Linked DNA regions of Tamandua tetradactyla. The protein of the gene in region 2 interacts with the protein of the main gene of each other region in a pairwise test. Links are inferred from orthologs where the notes say so. Each region holds a gene or a part of one and is shown on either strand. Other genes may lie near its edges. The genes, in order: GLRX3, MAPKBP1 and TEX11.

The links.
Region 1: the proteins of MAPKBP1 (region 2) and GLRX3 interact in binary tests that used the Homo sapiens proteins (3 or more experiments, as listed by UniProt). The two-hybrid records come from large-scale screens. The link is inferred for Tamandua tetradactyla from reciprocal best matches to the Homo sapiens genes MAPKBP1 and GLRX3.
Region 3: the proteins of MAPKBP1 (region 2) and TEX11 interact in binary tests that used the Homo sapiens proteins (3 or more experiments, as listed by UniProt). The two-hybrid records come from large-scale screens. The link is inferred for Tamandua tetradactyla from reciprocal best matches to the Homo sapiens genes MAPKBP1 and TEX11.

The regions. Positions count from the first base shown.
Region 1 is NC_135339.1:92,762,860-92,770,382, forward strand, and holds the start of GLRX3 (glutaredoxin-3), read left to right. Parts: upstream 1-4,466; 5' UTR 4,467-4,479; coding exon 4,480-4,574; intron 4,575-7,523. UniProt on the Homo sapiens protein: Together with BOLA2, acts as a cytosolic iron-sulfur (Fe-S) cluster assembly factor that facilitates [2Fe-2S] cluster insertion into a subset of cytosolic proteins.
Region 2 is NC_135340.1:55,454,647-55,462,570, reverse strand, and holds the start of MAPKBP1 (mitogen-activated protein kinase-binding protein 1), read right to left. Parts: upstream 3,002-7,924; 5' UTR 2,833-3,001; intron 2,827-2,832; exon of another isoform or gene 2,338-2,826; intron 2,264-2,337; 5' UTR 2,158-2,263; coding exon 2,041-2,157; intron 1-2,040. UniProt on the Homo sapiens protein: Negative regulator of NOD2 function. It down-regulates NOD2-induced processes such as activation of NF-kappa-B signaling, IL8 secretion and antibacterial response. Involved in JNK signaling pathway.
Region 3 is NC_135353.1:100,742,321-100,750,023, reverse strand, and holds the start of TEX11 (testis-expressed protein 11), read right to left. Parts: upstream 3,025-7,703; 5' UTR 2,600-3,024; intron 2,034-2,599; exon of another isoform or gene 1,967-2,033; intron 1,769-1,966; 5' UTR 1,748-1,768; coding exon 1,711-1,747; intron 1,513-1,710; exon of another isoform or gene 1,491-1,512; intron 1,243-1,490; exon of another isoform or gene 665-1,242; intron 1-664. UniProt on the Homo sapiens protein: Regulator of crossing-over during meiosis. Involved in initiation and/or maintenance of chromosome synapsis and formation of crossovers.

The DNA.
Region 1 (7,523 bases), on a different chromosome or scaffold from region 2:
CTAAGCTTTAACATGCTGTGTGTGTGTGTTTGTATGTGTGTGAGAGAGAGAGAGAGAGGAAGAGAGAGAGAGGAAGAGAGAAGAGGAAGAGAGGACTGGACTCAACAGAGAATTAACAGCATGCGAGGTGGGGGTGGGTGCTGAGAAGAGCTGGAGGCCGAAACGCAGAGGCTCAGGGGTGGGTATGGGGGTGCATCCTGGCTCTGGCTCTGGGCAGTTTTCTGAGCAGGCAGTGAAAGTTTTGGTATCATCAACAGGAAATTGAATGCTAAAAGTGGCCACTTGTGTGCAAGGGCTTTGGATGGCCAAGAAAAGGACACTCTATAGCTGTATATATGCCTGGACATACCTGCAGATATGTATGTTCCTGGAAATACCCATTTATGCTCCTGCATATACACCTGTACGTACCTGTAGATACCTGTAACTCAGATTCAGCACTCTCCCCAAAACGTGGCTTGAGTTCAGTGCTGAGCTACTGAGTAGTCTTTGCTGCTGAAGTCAGAGCATTTTAGAGGGAACAGGCCATCTGCTGCCCCCTAGGCTTGCTGATCTCAATCATGATAACTGCAAGAAAGGGCAGGAGGGGGACTGGAAATGTTTTCCAGGCATTTTCTGGGGGCATTTTTGTTGAAGGGAGCATGCTCTGCAGCTAGCGTATACCACTTGCAGCAAATTCCATTTAAAGGAAAAATCAAGATTTATAAAACAGCCACATTAGGGGGGCAATTACTTGCGTTTTTTGAAAACTATTCACTATTGCACATTTCCCTGGTGTATTACAGTTTCATTATCTTAAAAAATTACAAAGCTAGTCCATGTTCTTTGAAAAATGCAAACGACACAAAAGTGTTTAATGTAAAAAGTAAAGGGCCATCCTTCAAACTCCCCAACTTCTAGTCTCTGGGGGCAAGTTCTAATATTTGGGGACACATCCTTCTGAAAGTTTTTTCTATGCTACACACACCTATCTTTACATATTTTGTCTACATATAATTCCATGTTTAAAAATGATTCTCAGATACACATACTATTTTACCATATGCTGTTCCCCCCTCCTATTGCATTTTTATAATAATCACTAAGGCTTTTATGTATTTTTTAAATTAAACATTTAGTTTTGAGATAATTGTAGATTCACAACTGGAGTTGTAAGAAGTAATGTGGAGTGACACTGTGTACACACAAAAGTTTTCCCCAGTGTAGCACTGTCTCACAGTCAGTGACATTGTAATGACATTGATACAATCTACCTATCTTATTCGGATGGCCTCAGTCCTGTTGATGTTCATTTGTGTGTGTGTGTTTAGTTCTACGCCATTTTATCACAGGTAGGCTTGTGTACCCACCTGGACTCCCACCTCTGTCCCACATTTTCAGTAATGTAATTTACCATTCTCAGTGGCATCTGCTTCTCAGAGTGAGGTGTGTCTGTAATGTGGCTCCTATAGGTTGCTTTTAAACCATTAGAGAAGCACTGTCCAACGAGAATAAAAAGTGATCTGCAAACGAAAGCCACCTATGTAATTTTAAATTTTCTAAGAATCTCATTAAAAAAAGTAAAAAGCAGCAGGTTTAGTTTATGTATTTTATGTAACCCAATATAGCGTTTCAACCCAATATTATCATTTCAACATGCCAACAATATAAAAAATATTAATGAGATATTTTGTGCTCTTTTTTGTGCATTTTATACTTACGGCACATTGAAATTCAGGCCAGCCACATACCAGCTCTCGGAGGCATGGAGCTGCCACAATGGATAGAGCCACACTGGACTGCACGGCTCTTAGCTGCCTGCTGTGAGTGCTTCTGTTTTTTTCCAGTTTACACACTCACAATTCTCTTTTCTGTCTGCCTCCTCTTCTGTTTTTTTTAAAGATTATGTATTGCTTTTTTAGAAAAATATTTTTATCAAGGTCAAGCCATGGAAAATATACAATCAATATCATCACATAGTTGTGTATTCATCATTGTGATCATTTTTAGAACATTTGCATCACTCCAGAAAGAGAAATAAAAAGAAAAAAGAAAAAAATCCATATATTCTGTACCCTTACCTCTCTTCATTGGGCGCTAGTATTGCAATCCATCCAATTTTTTTAACCTCTTATCTCCCCCATGATTTTTTTTTTCTCGCATGGGCAGGCACTGCCAGAGAACCCCGGTCTCTGGCACAGCAGGCTAGAACTCTGCCACTGAGCCACTGTTGCCCATTCTCTCCCCACCATTTTTATTTCTGTTTTGATCTTATTTTTTTGATCATCTGTCCATACCCTGGATAAAGGGAGTGTCAGCCACAAGGTTTTCACAATCACATGGATGCACTGTAAAAGCTTTATAGTTAAACAATCACGTTCAAGTATCAAGGCTGCTGGAATACAGTTCAACAGTCCTAGGTACTTCCCTCCAGCTACTCCAATACACCACAAACTAAAAAGGGATATGTATATAATGCATAAGAATACCCTCCAGGATAACCTCTCAGCTCTGTTTGAATTCTCTCAGCCACTGAAGTTTTATTTTGTGCCCACTTTTGGTCAAGAGGCTTTCTCAATCCCATGATGCTGGCTCATCCCGGGAGTTCTGTCCCACGTTGTCAGGGAGATTTACATCCCTGGGAGTCATGTTCCACTTAGAGGGGGGAGGGCAGTGAGTTCAACTGTGGAATTGGCTTAGAGAAGAGACCACATCTGAGCAACAAAAGAGGCTCTCTAGTTGTGACTCTTAGGCATAATTATTTGTAGGCTTAGCCTATCCTTTGCAGGAATAAGCTTCATAAGGTTGAGCCCCCAAATTAAATGCTCGGCCTGTTGAATTGGTTGTCCCTATTGTTAGTGAGAATGTCGGGAATTCCCCAGATGGGGAAGTTTAATATTTCCTCCTTTCTCCCCAGTCCCCCAAGGGGATTTGCAAATATTTTTTTATTTTCTGGCCAAAATAAACTCTGGTATGTATCAGAGCATCACACCAACCTGTACAAATCCTTCTGCCTCCTCTTAATTCTTCCAGATTAATTTTTTCTCTCCCACCCTGGAAAATGCTTTATGCTCAGTCCATATTTAAAAGGAAAATTTCTTTGTAAAAAGAATTTTGTATTCTGCTCCTCTCTCTCAAGGATACCTGTGCTCACCCTCCCAGGCCACCGAGAGATGTGCAGGGCAGCACGCAGGGGATTGGCACAGAAGTGGCAGAGCAGCACAAGGCCCCTGGGGCGAATTCCCTCTGCCAGCTCCTCCCAGCATGTGGCTCACCTGAGAGTGTGGCTTGTGGAGGCTGTCCCTGTCCACTCTCTGGGTTGTAATACTGCCGATGAGCCCTGCTCTCTGCCCCGTACTGACATCTACTGTGCTCTAGCCCAGGCATGGGATAAAGACAATTCCTGCCCTCAGTGGGAGCACTGGTGAAGGGGAGCACGTTCTTCACACAGGGAGCAGTAGGGACAGGTAGGGAAGGCTGTGTGGACACTTTCTCAAGGACGGTGCAGGAGGACTTTTAAGAGAAGCCCCAAATTCCTGGTGTAGCACCCCTTGCGATGGGAACTATGGGAGGAGAGTCTGGAGAAGATGAGGGCAGGAGAGAGCTCTGGACTTGCAGCCGAGCCTTCCCCAGACATTTAAGTCAGTAGGGGCACCGACAAGATGACCAGGTAGGAGAGAGTGTGGGGGAAGGCAAAGGACACCCTCAGAAGAGTCGACTTTAGGGGGATGCGAAGGAGAGCAAGGGTCGCCAGGGAAGGCCCGAGGCAAGAGGGGTCTGGGAGCTTGGGGGCCTGATTGGAGGTGCTAAGGGGGTCCTGGAAGCTAGGTTGGTGGAGTCCCAGGTCCTGCTGCTCTCTGGTCACAGTCCCTTTGGGTCCAGCTGGGAGTGTGTGTGTGTGTGTGTGAGGGGGGTGGAACGCGGTCTCCACGTAGGGTTCGTGGGAGGCGTCCTTTAGGTGAGGTTTGGAGACTGGGCAGCATTGTGTTCTCAGCCTTCCCAGTTCATGCCAATCTTTACGCTAAACTTTAAAGATTTCAGCTTGTAAGTGCACAGCCTGACTTCACGCACCTGCACACACAAATCCTTCCTCTGCCCTCGGGCCTGGTTTTCAAAGCTCGGAACCTGAAGCTGTAGGAGCTGCCAGCAGGAGGCTGGTGGGGTGAGGTCTTAAGCAGGTGGGACTCTCCAATCAATTAAGATTCCTGAGTCAGGACTCCCAGAGATCAGGAGTCAGGATCCCCGGGAGTCAGGACCTTCCCAGGGGTCAGGATCCCCGACAGTCTCGAGCACAGCGCGCGGATCTCGGCCGCTGGAACCCGGCTGGCTCTGGCTGTGCGCTGCAGGCCCGGCGGATCAGGTTTCGCAATAGCCCAGCCCCGCTGTGGGGGCGTGGCCGGGGAGGCGGAGCTTTGCCGGCGCGCGGCCGCCCCGCCCCGCCCCCGGCCCCGCCCCCATCGACCCGCCCGCGCTCGGTTGCTCCAGTCTGGCGGCGGCAGCATGGCGGCGGGGGCGGCCGAGGCGGCGGCGGCGGCGGCTGTGGTGGAGGTCGGTTCAGCCGGGCAGTTTGAGGAGCTGCTGCGCCTCAAAGCCAAGTAAGCGGGCCGCGAGAGGCAGGAGCTGGGCGCGGGCCGCGGGTACGGGCCGCGGGGCCGGCGGGCCTTGGGCACTGAGGGAGGAGAGCGGCCATGCCGGCGCCTTCACGCCCCGCTCGCCCGGGCGTCGGTCGGTTCCGCCCGGCCCCGCGGGCTCCCCGGGCTCCCCGGGCTCCCCGGGCTGTCCAGAGCTGCCAGGCCCGAGGCTTGGGCGTGCCCCGCTCTGGAGGGTGCGGCGGGGCCGAGAGGGTCGACCCCCGGCCCGGCCGGGCCCCCAGCGCGCTGGCCTGGCCGCCCCCGCCGGGCGCGGTGACTCAGCTTTCCCGAGGCGCTCGCTGCGGGCGGGGCCGGGGGCTGCGCGGAGACCCGGGCCCGGGGCGCGGCCGCCGCGCGAGGGACCCACCGGCGGGCTCGGCTCCTTTGTGCGCCGCCCGCCGGGTCCTGCCAACTCAAGTCTTTCTCTTTGGCACCGCGTTATAGTAGGGCTTGGCTTCCTTAGGGTGTTTAGCCTTTCTTTTAGAATTAGTGTTTAAAGTTTGTCACAGGCAGGCAGCGCTAGCATTTCCAAATTCGTCGTTGCCATAGACGGGGAATTCGTGTTTCAGGAGCTGCTTTTGTCAGTCGGTTCCGGGTTGGCGCACACGTGCTTCTTGCCCTTGAGAGTCCACAAAAGGAGATCCATCGGGATGCACAGAAAACGTTTTTCTGGAGTTAGACACTGAACCGTATGAGTGCTCACAGGTAAATGCTGACAGGTGTGCCCATGGGCGACCGTGGTAATGCACATCACACTGTAGTGTCCTCAAGGACAGCCTTCAGCTGTAAAGGTTAAGATGGGAACTTAGGTGGTCAGATCGCCTGTGGCATCCTCAGTTCAGCCCCCTTCATGGCTGGGTGACCCTAGGGTGGGCTTCACTTAAGCCTCAGTTTCCTCAACGGGAAAGTGGTTGAGAATTGTACCTCCCTCGTGGAGCTGTTGCCAGGATCAAATGAGATCAAGTAAAATGCTTAGTACTTGGCTTGGCATGCAGGAAGCACTCAATGAGTGAGTGGGAAGCCTGTTGTTTTTCAGTAGAGAGTAGCGTGCGTGCGTGGAATTCACTGGTGGTAAATGCTTTTTGACCTTAATACAGTAAAATTTTGCTGGCTGAGTTTGAGTCAGAGGCAAGTTGTATTTTGTGCTTTTATAATGGAGACTGCGATGAGATAGGGGAGTTGCCTTTGTTGAAAATGGGGAGGGGTGAAAGTTGCTCTGTTCTGGTTGACCACCCTTTACGGACAGGATGAAGTTCAAGACAGCTCTTTGGGCGTCTCAGGCTTACATTAGAAATTGTCAAACAGAAGGAAATGATGAAACCTGGATTCTAATTCAGCCAATACTTTTCTGCATACACACACACACACACACACACACACACACACACACACACACAATCTTAAGGCAGCAAATTATGGAGGACATGAGTGATGGCCTTTAGAAATGAACAGGGCTTGTGTGGACCTGCCTTTAATAAACATTTTGGACTTAACCATCATCTGAAATAAACTGTTTTGTTTGTTGTGTGCTTCACGTTTTTGTTTTTATGCTTCATATTTTAAAGTCTTTAAAATATACACGGGTAAAAGTTTACATGTAAAAACCAGTTAGATGTATTCTTGCTGCTTGTCTATACTTGAAATAACTGAAAGGACTATACTGCTTCCCATAGAGATTAGTTTAAATGAGTACCTGGGCAACTTGGCATAGGAGGGAGGAACAAATATCTGCTGTTTTTGTGAAAATGAAAGCATTTACAAATATTAAAGAGTACTTGTGGTAATGCAATCACTTAAAAAGCTTTAAAAAGCATACCTTCTCAATTTCAAATTTGGTATGAATTGACATTTTTTCTTTGCTTAAGTCATCTCAGCAGATGTTTATAATTTATGAAAACTCCAGCAGGTCTGTAGGATATTTATGTCCATTTGCTGAATAATTAATCAGAGCACCTGTAATCATAAAGAAATAACTATTGAGCAGTAGCTATTTTACTGATGAAGACTTGACATTATTAGCCAGGATTTGAACCTGGTCAGTCTTTCTCTGAATGTTTTCCTCAAACATTGCACTATGTATATTGAGTTATCAGTGAAGATGGAGAGAACACAGTTACAGATATCCTAAAGAGGACAACCCCATTTCAGGTTTATGTCCTTAAAATATTGGGCATTATGTACTTAATTGGAAAATGGAAATTTTAAGCATCTAAACATGAGAAAATCATAGATAGTTTAATGTGACAGTAGGCATTTCCATAGTGCTTTAATATTTTCAGAGTGCTTTTATATTTTTGTTTGATCTTCCCAGCAACCCAGGATATTAGGTATTCCTGTTTTACAGATGTAGAAGTTAAGAGAAGTTCAGTTACTGTTCGGTTACCTTAGTAGTGAAGCAACAGAAATTTGAATTCAAGTTGTATGTACTTTTTTCTTTTCCTTTTTTACATAGAATTAAATGCTATAAAGTATGGCAACCTACTTTAATTTTTAAAAATGTGATATGTGAGCATTTTCCCATGTCATTAAAAATTCTTTGATAACACAGTTTTTCTGTTGTATAGTATAACATACATAGAAAGCAAAGAAAAAAAAAGCAGTCGTTTTCAAAGCACTCTTCAACAAGTGGTTACAGGACAGATCCCAGAGTTTGTCATGGGCTACCATACGATCCTCTCAGATTTTTCCTTCTAGCTGCTCCAGAATATAGGAGGCTAGGGGGCTTAAATACTTTTTTCATCATCACAATCGACTTTTTTTTCCTTCTTTTTTTATGAAAAATAACATATATACAAAAAAGCTATAAATTTCAAAGCACAGCACCACAATTAGTTGTGGAACATATTTCAGACTTTGACATGGGTTATAATTTCACAATTTTAAGTTTTTAATTCTAGCTGCTCTAAAATATTG
Region 2 (7,924 bases):
CTGTGCTTTCATTAACACTGTATGCATACATCTAGAACAACACTTTTCATATACCACATTGTAATGATCTCTTTACATGTCTGACTAGCCATAAGCTCTTTCTTTGATGGCAAGGTCAATGCTTTATTCATCCCTAATTACAGGCATGATAAACACTCAGTAAGCATTGTTTGAATACATTAACAAGAAATGACATGGGAAGTTCTAAAAAAATGGCAACTGTACCTTCCTGATATCAGACCAAAATTACAATAAGTACTAACACTATTTGAAGACTAAGCTTCCACGATACAAATCTACTACCTATACCATTCTTGGCTACCAAAAGAGGCCAAGATTTGGGAAGATTGCTCTAATAGTACTGGTCATTGCCAAGTTACAAGCCAAAAATATGAGTTTATATTACTAAGAATGATTCAAACCAACAAAGAGTCAACACAGGCAAACATAAGAGAGTTTCTAAACTTCAGACTCATTCTAAAATGAGTAGTTAGGTTCAAGTGTTAAATTGGCCAGGTGGTGCTGCCCAGTTGTTCTGTTGCTATGGACTTAAATCATCAGCATGTGAAATTCATACATGGCCCATCTATGAATGGTTAAGGGGAGTGCCTTCAGCAATGAATGACAATTTAATTAGCTGGAGGCTTAAAAAAGAGAGGTCAGAAGCGCAGGGAGCTCAGAGCAGCTCAGACCTAGATGTTTGAAGATGCCCAAAGGACACACCCCAGGGAAAGCCACTGGACTCCAGAAGCCAGGAGAGAAGGCCAGCTGACATGGCTGTGTGCCTTCCCATGTGACAGACAAATTCAGATAAAAGCAAGCTGCCTTTCCTTGGAGGAACTGTAAACTTGTAACTAAATAAAATCTCCTTATTAGGAGCCAATCCATCTCTGGTATATTATATTCTGGTAGCTCTTGCAAACTAAAATAATGAATAAGGATTAATGAGTTCTTGGAAGGATCACTATCTACCAATATGGAACCCTATGACCAATTTTGATTCAGTACAATCTCTGCTGAAATATTACAGTAAAGTTGTTCACCTTCTGACCAAATCCAATTAAGGTTCTGCTAAGGGACAGGAATCTAAGTCCTCCCAAAACCTTGTCATGTTGAACATTAGCACTTTAAATCATTCCTTATGGGGTTTAGTCATCTCTGAAGAGACACAAGCAAGGCAATAAAATGCTGCTGTCTCAAATGCCTCTCCCTGTAGCAATCCTTTATCACACAAGGCTATTGTGTTTACAGGCTGCTAATAAGACACATAAATCTAATCTGATCCTGTGGAACAAAGCCCTGGGTTCCCTCAGGGAATAAACAAATTTAGTCCACTTCGGAATTCCCAAAGTTGAAAAACAAAGTTGAAAAAAATCATAAGGACCAAAGCCCAGACAAATGAAGAGATGGAAATGGACTTGGCCTCTGAGGAACTTCTTAGCCAGGTAGGAACTGGCTCTTGTCATTGAGTGAATAAAATAAGCAATGTTCAATGGCAAACTTTTGCTAGCAGACATATGGCTACTTGCATGATACCATTCCTAAAAAGCCAAGAATCTCCAGTTAAATCAATTTAGGCCTCTTAAAATTAGGCACATGAATTATTTTGACCCCAGCCAAGAGCATTTAACAAGTTAATTCCTTGGACTAGGCGTTTTAATATATTTCTTTCTACTACTACAACGCTTACATAACTCAGCTGTGACACACCTGCAGCTTGCATTAGTTACAACTTAGTCCTTAACAGGGTATGAATCCTTCCTTTTCCAAGAAAGGAAACCAAGTCATAGCATTATCAATCGGCTTCCCCAAGCACAAAGTTTGTAGGAGGCCATGACTGAATCCAGTATGCCTTCCTCCTATTCACCTGTTCTCACGAATGAGTCTCAACATAGTCTTTTCCTCCAACCTAAAACTTAATGCCTACTTGAGAGGCATATTTAATCCTTTAGCGCCTATATGGAAAACGAAGGTGAAAGAGGAAAAGGGTGCAGGGGAGGGGAGGGTTGAAAAGGAATGGCTCCCAGTACTAGGACTCACCTTGGAGCTGAGGTCCTCTCGCCGGTTTCCTGCCTTACTCCTGCGTAGTTTGATGGATGGCGATCGCAACAGGTTCTTAATCCGGCTGGTAATGGTTGACCCTTCCACAGCCATCATGATGAGAAACCCTTTGGGACAGTCCCTTGCCTAGTCTTAGGACCTGTCTCAACAGCAGCTCAGCCTTCCCACTTCGCAGGGCCTTCCAATACGACCTCTCAATGACCTGAGATGGTAAAGGCCACCTCAGCATCAGAGTAGGTGTCTTACCTTCTGCTTAACTGTGTCTGTAGCTCTTACCTCTCGGTATTACCATCTTCTTTCCTCTATATCAAGCTCATCCCCGCTCCAAAGCCTGGTGCGGTTTCTTATAATGTGGGGAGGGTAGACCCATGTAAAAACGGGGTGGGTGAGGAATCCTGAGCCACGAAGAAATGCCAGGCCCATGCATGCCAGAGGCTTTTTAACTGGTGGGACGGGCCCGAGCAGGGCTCTGACTGATATGGTCCCCGTTAATTCCCAACTGTTTCCATGACAACTACGGTGCCGTGGGAGGCTACCGAGGCCACTGAGGAGTTCCGTAAGGAATTCTAGGCACCTGCGCTGGCAGCCACGGGGAACTCGGCAGAGCTCGCCCTGGCCCAGCAACCCCTTTTGCCACTGGAGCCTCCCTCCTCCTCCCCCGACCCTCCGGAGTTTGCTCTCGGTCCTCCACCCGGAACCTGGACCTTTCTCTTTCATCCCCCTCAGAAGCCCCTGCTACTCATCAGCGCCCCCACTCGGGCCCAGCCTCACCAGACCCCGGGCGCGAGGGCCTCCCGGCTCACAGCGCCCTCAGGCATAGCGCTCAGCGATTTCAGCTCCGCTGCGGGAGCCCCAACAGCAGCTATGGCGGCACGAGCGGCTCAAAACGCGAACTACTGCCTGGGCCAAGCTACCGGTTGGGTAGGCGGAGCCACGGCGAGGGGGAGCGCTTGTATCCGGGAGGGCGTCTCCAGACTGGACGCGCAAGGTTTATGGGGGCGGAGCCAATGAAAGGGCATAGAATGGAAGACTTGGGACGCGAGAACCACGGATTCCGGACAGTGTAACCGTGGGTACCGCTTTCAGACGGAAGTCATCATAACATGGCTTCAGAATTAAGAGAACCACACCTTTTAAGGTATTATCAAATCTGGTCCCCCGTAGGAAACTTGCACTTCCCAGAGTCCCAAGACGGTAATCACGTTCCCAAAGTACTAACGTGGGCAGTTAATAGGCTCGAGGGACCAGAGGTGAGGCTAACTCCTCAGAATGAGGTATAGTTGTAGCCTCTGCTCTCACTGCCAATCCCAAATGTCAGGATTTAAAGTGGTCACAATACTTTCTGCTAGCGTAGGAATTCGTGCATCGACCCACATGGAAATGACTCTTCCGAGTAACCGCTTAAACGGCTAATTACGGCGATTTGCATTGGGCAATCTGGGCATGATGGAGCAGGGGCGGGGCTTCAAGTAAACGTGCCTATAGGTTTGTTTCAAGATTCCTTCAGCGTCCACGTCCCACCACGCTCCCACGCAGTTAACCAGGATTTTGTGGCTCCGGATCTTTTCCTTGCTCCTGTTAAAATTTCCTCGTGAAATCTCTTTCCGAGAACCGTTACATGGTGAACTGGCACTAGATTTAATGGTAGTTTTTCTAGCTCATTGGTGGGGGTAAGGGGACACCTTTATGTATTCATATCTCATAGGTGTCTCAGCCTAACAGTTTATGCCATTAAGAGCCCCAGGATTTTCCACTTTGTTGCTACTTCAACAAGCTGCTTTACGAAAAGGGTAGCCTAAGCCAAAAGACCCAGGTCCCAGAATAGAACACTGATGTGCTTGTCTCACCCACTCCAGATCCTTGGGATCCCCGGGAGAGATGACCTGTCAAGAGGGGGAGGGATCTTAAGCCCATAGCTGTGTGGAGTCGGCTTTGTACAACCAAGTGGCCAAGCAGGCATGTATTTATACGTACTGTAATGTGTTAAAAACGAGGTACGTAAACCTCACAGGTTGACACAGAACAGGATCATCTCCTAGAAGACCAATTAGCAAGAGTCACCGGACATGGGGCTTCCTTCCCTTCAACCATGCACTGCAAATGTAATTAAATATAAATCAGATTTCAGAAATTACTTCTGATATCTGGGAGGAAGAAACAAGAGTCTACAACAATTTGAAATAGGGAGTTTGTCCTGAAATTCCTTGCTAGTTTCCATTCTCCATGGGCACAGAAACCAACATAACACTGCTCAAGAATGGCGGTACCTTGTGTCTTTGTGTGCTGCAGACCCCAGCATATACCAGTTTCGCACATGAAACAAAAATGTGTCTTATTAATCCTTTCTCAATCGTTTTTGTGCCTACTAGGTGTCTCACTTACTCATGCATGACCAGGTAAATGGATTTACATGCTATTAGTTATTTCCTGGCCAAAGGTACCCTGATTTATTCTGAGAAAATGTTCCCCAAATTATCCTCATCTGAGGTGAAGCTGCTGAGCCAAATCCAAGTTCCTGCCTTCCTTGATGATCTAGGTGAAAAACAACTAAGAACAGGGTAATGAGGGGATTTCATAAGTCTGGCATCTGGTTACTTCCAGTCTAGGGCCAAACCACACACTTAATTCTTCACAAGTTCAGTCCAATTTTTATTGTCTAGGTATCATGCAGCTTTTGAAGTGCCAACATGGTAATTGGCTGTGTCCATGCTTCATGAATTGATTACTCAGAAAATATAGTCCCAGGTCCAATGTGAGTAGAAGGATTTCCTTTTCTCCACTCAAATAAGTACTTGCCACTCCATCCTTCAAAATGCGATTGACCTTGACATAAGTATTTCAGCATCCATAAGCTATTTCACTTTTTATTCTGCTTGTACATGTCCTAAACATGTATACATGGTGTTTGTCACATTCTAAAGTTCTAGATGTCTGGGAATAGATGTATACAGTTTCTATTTAGCATTATGCTCATTAGATCATATTTAAAAATTGATCCTTAACATGCAAACAAGGTGCAGTTATAAAATCCTGGAAAACTTGGCAGGCTAGAGTAATTATCTGCTCATCAATCCAAATATTTACTGAGCACCTTTACATGCAAGGCACTGTGCGACAACTGAACCCAATGTTTGCAGTTGGAAACACGATGGATCACAAAACAATGCTTCCAAGACTGCTTTCCTATTTAACAAAATCTCTTCTAACAGCAGAGTTTACAAAAATAGAAGGATTTAGTAGAGCTTAAATTTGAAAGCTCAAAATTCACCACTTACCCCATGGTTCCATCTTCCCACTCCTCACACACACCTCCATCATCATTTTTCAACACTGATGTGCCTTTGTAGAGCAGTTTACTCATATTTAATATATACTAGTTATGCCACTAAAAAGTTATATATATATCCAATTATTTCCCTCTAACTTAACTTCAAATATGCATTCTTATTTGACTAATTTTTTTCCAAAGGGCAGTGACTCTGAATACCTCAGCTTAAAATTTCTTTGCACCCAGCCACTCAGGCCCATGTAAAATCTCATTAGAGATAATAACAATAACATGGAAGTATTGATGCCCTTTATAGCACTTTCTTCAAAATGGACAATTTTGGGCAAGAAATGTATTGATTCTTGATTATCAATCACTCTCTGTAAAGGTACCTAAAAATGTACTGTACTGTGCACTTTTTGTGTTTGTTTTTTAACTTCTGGGAATGAGGGGTGAGAGTTACCACTAATTTTTAGATGTCTTCTGTTTACCTCTCAAATTCACCTCATCTCACTTCCATTTCAAATACCTCAACCAGTGGAGTAAGAAAAAATATGTATCTATAATACTAAAACTTGCCCAAAGTAATATATGAATTGTCCACCTCTCTTCTATATTCAGAACATTCTCAATCTTGGTACAGAAAGGCCTAGTATCAGCTACTTCATCCATAGTTTTGGGGGAAAAAAAAAAACTACTGCATTTATTCTAAAATTATACAAAGTGAAAAATTTGCAAGAAGTTCATATAACTGAACTTGATCTGTTAGTGGCCTTAAATAGATTAGAGTAGCTCAATGTATAAAGGACTCCTTTAATAAAACTCTGTCATTTGTGATGCTAGTTAACTTAGATCTTCCCTTAAGAAACTAACTTATTGCCCTTAGCACTAAGATTGTGACCATGTCCCCTGTTTTTCCCCAGGGTAACAGGTATATTGCCCTGCACACATTGGTACTATGAGGCAAGCCTTTGTTCACTATAGAACAAAGACTTATTGAGACATACTTGATATCAAGATGTATAAAATTTTGGAGTCTCCATAGAAAACATGCTATATGGATTAGAAAAACAAAAACCTTCCCAAATGGCAAGCCAAAACTTTGAGAACAGAAAGGAATTCCTATGATGAAACTACTTCTCTGGCACCTCTCTTAAATCTGCCTCAGGGCATTAGGATTCTCTGTTCCAATTTAGCACAAACCTTCCAACACCAAGTCCTGCTTTAATTATTATAACTGATTTATTTCAGATTTAAACATTCTGCCTTTCAGTCATCAAACTTCTCCTGTTCTTAGGTTTCTAAAAAAATAGTCACTTTTCAAAAGCAGAAAAAGAAAGATATATATTTAATATATAAAAGAAAAGGCTAAATCTGACATAATTATATTCTTAAAAACATTCCATTTATTTACAGATGTATAAAAAGGCGAATTATTGGTCTAATGAGATCATGCTTCTTACAGAGTTAGGGTGAGAGTCACTGTCCTCCAGATTCCTTAAGTCCTTTCACTCAACTACATCTTTCATAATCACACATGTAATTTTCATAGATCAGTTTCTCCTGGGGCAAAAGTTAAAAGGTAAGAGTTGTGGGAAGATTTTAGATTTCTGTAAAGACTGCAGGATTGTTCTGAAAATGGAGTCCTCTTCAAATTGTCCCTGATGACTCCCTAAACAGTCTTGAGAACACCGTAACTTGGGAGCTTATAATGCAGCTTTCCCTGAACACCTGGAATCCCTCATTTCCTTCTTCATACACCTCATAAACAGAATCAAATATCCTCCAGCTGAGAAGAGATTATTACATATCTATTTTATTCTAAAAAGGGAGCAGTACTCAGTAGCTAAAATAAAATAGTCCTTCTTTTCCTGAGGATTGTTTGCTCACTTGCCTGCTTCCTTCGTTGACCTTCAAAAGCCACAAGAGTATTCAGAAGTCAGGAGGAAATGTGGGAAAGGGACAAGCAAGGAAATAATGAAAACTGCTATACCTGGATTGAAGTACTGGAACCTCCAAGGACAATTATTAGTGGGGAAGCAGATGCTGGACTCCTTGACTAAGGCATTGAATGAAATCTGCTTGGTAAAGAGGAGTGTGAGGATTAATGAGAAGCTAAGGGGTGCTCTTTGCCTACTTCAAGGTTCTTGTGTAACTTTCAGAGGAGGGAAGGTTAAGTGCTAACAAGTAGGTCTAAGAAGGCAGTAGCACAAAACCAAAAGAAATTTGCTCCCATTGAATTTGTGGCGGAAGCAGTTTTTCCATTCTTTGCAGTTTGTTGATTATTAATACAAAAGGAACCAACCATGGAAAGTAATAATTCTCTGGCTAGAACCATTCCAAAGTTGGTCTCACAACCTAGGTCTGAAGATATGCTGAATAGGATTTGGGATAGAGAAGGCAGGGTTATGCAGAAGAAGTAGTTATCGCCTAGGCACAGCCCAGGCACTGGAAGCTCTTGTGTTAGTGTTTCACAACACAAGCAAATCCTGTCAATGAAGACAGAATAGGCGTTACATTCCAAAATATAGTTATTTAAGAAAGGCAAAATGCAGCAGTTAAATCCCAGTCTATACATTTGCAGATAGTGATTCT
Region 3 (7,703 bases), on a different chromosome or scaffold from region 2:
TAGTGTAACCATAGGTATATTCAAATAAAGTATTCAAATAACCATTGTAAAACCTGTGTTTGCACACCAAGTTTCATAAACCAATTTAAGATTAAGGGGACAAGGAAAAAATCTACAAATCCAGAGAGCAAAGTTCTTAAATTCTAAATATTAAACAGTAACTTAAATACCATTTGATCAGTTGTTAAAACTGTGAATGTTTTAAAAATATCAAGTAGAAAGTTATTACAAATATCTACATTGTAACAGTAATGACCTATGTTATTAAACATTTTCCTGATTTCAGGAAAATATGAAGATACAAATGTTTTTATAATTAACATATGAAACTTTAAACACCTAAAATGGATATCTTAGTTAGCTTATCCATATGCATATTTAAATAAAATATCTAAGTAATGATTGTAAAGTCTGTTTGTACGAGTCTTCATAAGCCAATTTAAAATTAAAGCAAGGAAGGAAAAATCTATAGATACAAATATCAGAGTTTCTTAGATTCCAAATATTAAACACTATCTTAAATACCATTTGATTAACTATCAAAATTGTGTACGTTCTCAAAATAATAAGTATATAGTTTTGAACAAAGATCTGTGATGTGATTGGTAAATGATTTTTTTAGTCATTCATTATATTTTCCTGCTTGAACATGATTTTCCAATGCTCAAAAACATGTTGATGTACTAGATTTTGTTTGCAAATAGATATAATTTTTCAAATATGTAGTGTCAATTCCCCAACTTTTATGACACTCTTCAATAGCATCAACTTTCTCAAGACAATGAATTTTGCATTTTGGGCCAAACAAACTTTTAATTTCAGTGCCTGGATTATAAAATGGTGGGCCTCTATGTTTAGGTGGACCGTTAGAAACCAAACATGAAATACTGGAACCCTTTTCTTGTTAGGGACATTATATTAACATCACATTCTCGATCACCTGGATTAACAGTGACTAAGGCTCTTCTATCCCAAATCGTGTCAAATTCACCAATTTGAATACTGATTCAAAAAAATCTTGAATCCCCAGTTCACTGATCTCCACACCAACTACGCTATGTCTCTGGTCTGCAAACCATCTAATTTCAACTGCTTTCCCATAAAGAGGGAAAAATATCCTTTGTCCACTCTTGCCATTAAGTAAAGTATCCAAACGCCTCTCTAATAGCTGATGTCCTTGTTCTTGATGAAATAAAATATTGCAGCTAACCCACTTTACTTGCCATTCTTCCAGAGTTAGTACTCAGTTTTTCAGCACCTCATTATTGGGGTAGTCATTAATTTTAAGTAAAGTTCTTGCATCATTCATATTTTTATAGACACCTTTGCCTCAAAAGCAGCTATCTTTAATCCTTTATAGTCACCTACATGTACTTTTACACAGATAATTTCTATTGATAAAGTTCAGATTAAACCAGTTTTATTTTGCATACCGTAAAAATCCTGAAAAAACAAGTTATGAATTGCGAATTTTCTTTCCCTACACTAACTAGTACATAAAAGGGTCCCCATGTCAAGCACCTACATTGTTTTCCTGGTAAATAATTGAGAAAACCTGGAAAAAAATATCTCCAAAGAGATAAAAGTTGGTTACAAAAAACATTTAGATCTAAAATATTCCCGGTGCCTGCCCATGTGAAAAAAAAAAAGACCTAAAATAAGGCAGCGAACAACTTGACATTCTCTTTATGACCACGTAAAACTACGTACCTTTAAAGTCCATGAAGCGAAAATCAGCAGCCTCCATTTTAAAATCTCTGGTTCAGGCCTAGGAAATAAAAAAAATATTTTAGTCTTTCCTTTATCATCTAGTTTCTCAATAAATTTCTTTACAATCAAATTTTTCCTGTTACTAGCTATTCAAAGGGAAAAACGGCTGAGGATATTTAAAAACCTAGAAAATGTAGTTAATGAGGGGCGGGGCAGGCTGGTGGGTGACTCAAAAGGGACCAGGAGGAGATTTTACCTCCCCCTAGAGGACTAGCGATTTTCTTCCCATAAAGCTGCCTAGTAAAGAGAGAAACAGGGCTCAGGGGTACCCTGTAATTGGTCTGGCTGGTTCTCATTGCCTCCTCCTAATTGGTTCAAAATCGCCGGCCCATTTACATCTTTACATTCAAACCATCCAATCACTCAGCGTTGTTTTTCCCGCTCTCAAAGACTCAGCGAGCGCCTTCAGCTCCCCACCCCCAACGCGCAGTCCAACGGAATCTAGCTTCAACGGAATCTAGCTTCAACGGGGTTTTAAGTCTGTCACATCCAAATTACGATAACTATTATTTCCCGCTTTCAGTGGCCCAGCACGGCTCCCCAAACTCTATCCTAAGGCAGAAAAAACACTAACTTTGCCCCTCTCCCTTCACCTAAAAGTCAGCCCTCAGAAGCTCAGTAGGCCAAAGTTATTGCCTCAGGGCCATTCTTTAAAAAGTGTTAGGATAGGGCGGGCCACGGTGGCTCAGCAGGCAGAGGGCTCGTTTCCCGTGCCTGCCCACGAAAAAAAAAAGTATTAGGATAGTGGCCACATCTTGCTGTTACAAACCACTCAACTAGCCTGTGCCTGAATCCTCCTCTAGCCCGTCCTCCCCACTAAAACACTCACCTCACCGAGGACCCGACAACGCCAAGTTGTCTTCTCTTCAGGCTCCTTCCACACCACAAGATGACGCTCACAAAGCTCCTCCCCTCGTAGTGACGCAATCAACTGCCTCGCCCAACAGGCGCTGCCCTGTATCACAGAATCTGTGCCTTGGGGCGCAGTCTAGACCTTAGGCCCTAGGGATGTAGTTCAGAAATCTAGGGTGAGAATCACTGAGAGCAAGCAAGTATGATGATATAAGAAATATACTGCAATCAATTGAGAGAAGAATGCAGAGGACAGGGATTACAGGAAAGATGAGAGCAGACCTTTGGACTGGGGGCAGGTGGGTGAAAAAGTATGTTTCCCTCTGATTATTGAAGAATGGCAAAGGTCAGAAATTGAGGAGACTGAAAAATCCTATAGTTCCAAGACATGTTTCTGTTGCCCTGCCCTGGCCAAATCTGAAGGAAACTACCTAATGCCCCCCATCTCCCACCCTTGCATGCTCACAGTAAGATCATATGTTCCGTCTATCTTCAGACAAATGGTTTTGGGGGTGAGGGTGGGATATATAGGTAAACATGTTTGATTCCAGCTAAACTTGTGGTAATGTTTGCAGACAAGAAATTGAACTGTTCTGAAACCTCCACCCAGAGACAGCAGATGCTGAATGTGTTAAGGCATGATTGCCTCCAGATTTGGAAAATAATCCACAATCAAAACATTAACAAGTCTCCTACTTCTTCCTTCACACACCCTCTTTGAAACCTTGTGCATCTCAGTCCAGATGTAGAAATGGCTGGCAGGATGAACAAGAGAAATTGTGGCTTCCATTCTGGGAACATGGATAGAGTTCCCTCCTGACCCTGAAAGTCTTGGAGTCAGTCCTTATATATCACAGAAAGTAATGAAGGGCTCTAAAAATAGTTTTTCCCCTATTCAAAATTTTCTCCATCTGGATCATATAGTACAGTGAAGAGAAACAGGAAAACTGAGAAAGTATTGCTATTAACTTCTCTTCTTTTGCATCCTCCAATTTAATATGTCCTCATTTCATAAGTGTAGATCACTAAATTAGGGAAAGAAGTCTGATGAAAGGGGCAGTAGATTATCCCATAGTTGACAGAATTCCCATACAACATATACTAGTGCCTTGATTTCCTCTTCTGTAAAATGGGAATAAAAGTAATTATTTCTAGCCTTCTGGTTCAATGAAATACTGTACATAAAGCATCTAGAACAGTGGCTAGCATATTGTAGGCACATGGCAAATGTCAGTTTCCATTATCATTCACCCTAACCTCGTTGGCATACTAAGGACTCCCAATTCCCATCATCCCACTCAGGCCTCTACTTCCAGCACCATGACTTATTTGTTCATGGATCAATAAGATGAACAAAAAAAGTGATAATGAGACCTCATCTCTCAAGTCTACAGTGGCCCTTTCACATAAATCGCAGACCTCTTAGTGATTAGTAATGCTCATAGTAGAGTGAAGATTATCTTATTAAAGATTATGTAAAGCATACAGGAATCACATGACTCTATTGAATAATGCTCATCACTAATATGACCCCAAAGTCAGGACTACAGAGCGGACACCAGTGCACTGAAACAATCAGTGAATCAAGGAAAATACATAGAAAGGGTGAAAGCCTTTACATTGAATGGGCATCTTCAATTTCTTGTTTTTGATCCAAATGACCTTCCTAGACATTAAAAGCCAAGTGAGGATTAAAAGAGAGAGAATAAACTAAAAAAGAGGGGCGGGAGAGTGAGCAAGGAAGTACTAGGGAGGAGACCGGAGGGGAAAGAAAAGAAGCAGGTGCATATTGAGGAGCATATACAAGGGTGAATAATAAAACACCACTAAGTGTCACTCAACATGCTGTGCATTATCTTCCCTACCCTAGCATCAACTATAAATGTTCTGCCCCTCCCTGTAAAAAATTGATACAGAAATGGTGAAATGTATATAGTGCATAAGGCAGGTGAACAACTTGGACTCTAATGAGATCCTATTAAGACTCTCATTAATACAGTGGATTAAAAGAAAGTAAGCAGCCAGGAATGCAAATTGGGTAATAAGGTGTATTACACTTTGTTAGAAGAAGAAAAACACCTTCAGAATAAACATGAAATTATAGAATAATCATCAGAAAATTCTAAAACAGAAGTATTAATGGAGTAAGGGAGAAGGGGCTTTTTCCATCAGATGTTAAAACTACACTAAAATGGAAAAGAATAGAGTCTAGAAACAGATATGTAAAACAAACACACACACACAGAAATGATTCAAATCGGGGGGGAAATGGATTATTCAAGAGCATTGAAAGGAATAACTGGATAGTAATTTGTAAAAAAAAAAAATAGATTCCTACTTTATTTCATACACCAAAATAAATTCTAGATTTATCAAAGATCAAAATGAAATCATAAAATTCCTTAAAGAAAATAAGAGCAAATATTTTATAAAGATGACAATGGCAATATCTGAACATGATCTGAAAACCAGAATCAAAAAAGGAAAAATGATGATGTTTTACTACATAAAGCTTTAAATCTTCTGCATGACTCTATAAACAGGGTTGAAAGACAAACCACAGCCCAGAAAAATTTTTTCAATATATATCACAGATAGTTAATATTTCTAACACAAAAATAGCTCTTAAGAAAAAAGACAAATACTCCAAGTAAATAAATGAGTAAAGAATACGCTCAACAATTCACACAGGAAGAGACAAATAACCAATAAACACATGAAAGATGTTTGACCTCATCTGTAATCATAGAATGCAAATTAAAGCAAGGTAAGTTTTTCATCTATCAGATTGGCAAAGATTAAAAAGATGAGCAAAAATCTCAAGTTGGCAAGATACACATAACAAACACTCTTGGACACTGCTGATAGAAGCATACATTATTGCAACTTTTCTGGAGGGAAGTTTGGCCATGTGTATCAAATTTTAAATGTGTTTATCTCATCACTCAAGAATTTCTCTTCTAGGAATTTTCCTAAAGAGGAAATTGGGAAAATGTGCTAAAACATATTAAGGAAACATTCACTGAATCATTGTAAACCACTTCAATGTTCACCAGTAGTGCACTAGTTACGCAACTTATGGTACGTTGGGGCCATACAATGGAATACTATACAGTCTTTAAAACATTATTGTGAAAATAACCTGTACTTATAAAACTGGGAAAACGCTTATATCATACTGTTGAGTTTAAAAAGGAAAAAAAATTACAGAGAAGGTATGTAATACGTATGCAAATCTTAGGCATACGTGAACAAAAATTGTCTGGAAAGATATTTAACAAAATGTTAAGAATGTTTGTTTTTGGATGGTGGGATTCTGAAGAACTTTTACTTTCTTCTTTATATTATCCAGTGTTTTTTAATTTTCTATAATAAACACATTTTTATCTTGAGGAAAGCTATTTTCATTTAAAAAAAAAACACAGGAAGATGAGGGAGTTTTTATCTGATGGGTATGTAATTTTCTCAACAAACTACGAGCAAAGTCAATAGAGAGTAGGAAGGAGAACTGTGGGGAGTGTGAAAGAGGTAAGAAATCGTTATTTCAGAGTGTTGAGCATCTAGTTGAGGTTAATGCCCAGTTTGCTGCCCAGTTAGTTAGCTTGCCCAGTTGTGTGATTTCCTCTGACATTCCTGAACTGCACAGGTGAAAGAATGAAGAAGATGTTTGGATTCCTCCAGAGGAACTCTGGAGTGCTACCTAGGGATTGAGGATATTTGCAAACGAGTGACGATAATGATAATAAATTCAGTAATTTATGTAGGAAAGGGAGCAAGTAAAGATTGGAGTAGAGTGAGGAAAAGAAAGAAAGTGTGTGGGAAGGAGGTCAGTGAATTGGATGATTATTGAGGCCACTTGAGGAAGTGAGCTGGGAAATCTAGGAGAGTTGTGGACAGAGAACTTGATGTTTAAATTATTGATTTCAGAGATGCACATTCTGGTGATGGCAAGATCTAGGGTATGATCATGTGAGTGGGTAATCGAGGTGGAATTCATTGAGTCAAACCACAGAACCACTCCCTCCCTTCTTCAATTTTATAACACTTATCTACACACTTCAGTTCAGGCCTTAGAATTAATCGCCTTCAAGAGTCTGACCCCAGACTAACTTTCCTGCCTTCTTTTTCCACTTCACTCCTTCAAATTCCTAGGCTCCAGGCAAAATGAATCACAAGCTTTCCCAACTTCTTGCTTTTGCATAAAATGTTCCCTCCCTCTGGAATGCCCTTCCCCATTTCTGAAATAACACATTTTACCTACCCTTTAACTTCTGCTTAAAAGCCTCAATATCCATGAAGCCTTTCCAGACCTCCCTTCTGTGAATTCTCATAGTACCCCATCCATACCTCTTAAGACAACAATCCAAAAGTTCTCCCCTCATTCCCTCCAGCTACTGCCCCCAAATGCTAGCCTATAGCTCCTGTATTCTTTTCCTCACCCTACAATCACTCAACCCACTACAATTGGCTTCCACCCCACCACCTGATCAAAACAGCTCTTGAAGTGATCATCAATTACCTCCTAAAAGATAAAACCAATCAACCATTTTCAGGCCTTACCTTACTCAACCTGGGTATCTAGGCAACATTTTACATTTTTGACTATTCCTGAAAAGTTCTTTCCTCCCTAGACATCCACACAGTGGTTCCTCTATCTCTTCCTCAAGTGGCCTCTATCTCTTCACAGAGTCCTCCTCCTCTATCTGTACCTTAAATGTCAATGTTCCCCAATCTTTTTTATGAGTATTATAAAAGGAATGAAAGCAAAATGATTGTACGGAATGAAAGCAAAATGATTGTACCTGGTTAAAAAACTGAAAAAAGTACATCAAAGAAATCAGAGGTTAACAGTTCCTCATATATTTTTCTAGAAAAAATATTTAATGTATAAATACATCCTTCTCTTTTGTTCTTTCACACAAATCTTTTGTTCTTTCACACAAATGTTCTGCATCTTAGGGTTTGAACTTCATTTTATTTTGTTTCTATTCAATAGTGTATCTTGGAGATCTTTCCATATCACCTATTGACACCAACATCTCTATCTCATTCTTTTTAAAGGTTGCGTAAGTATTCCACCA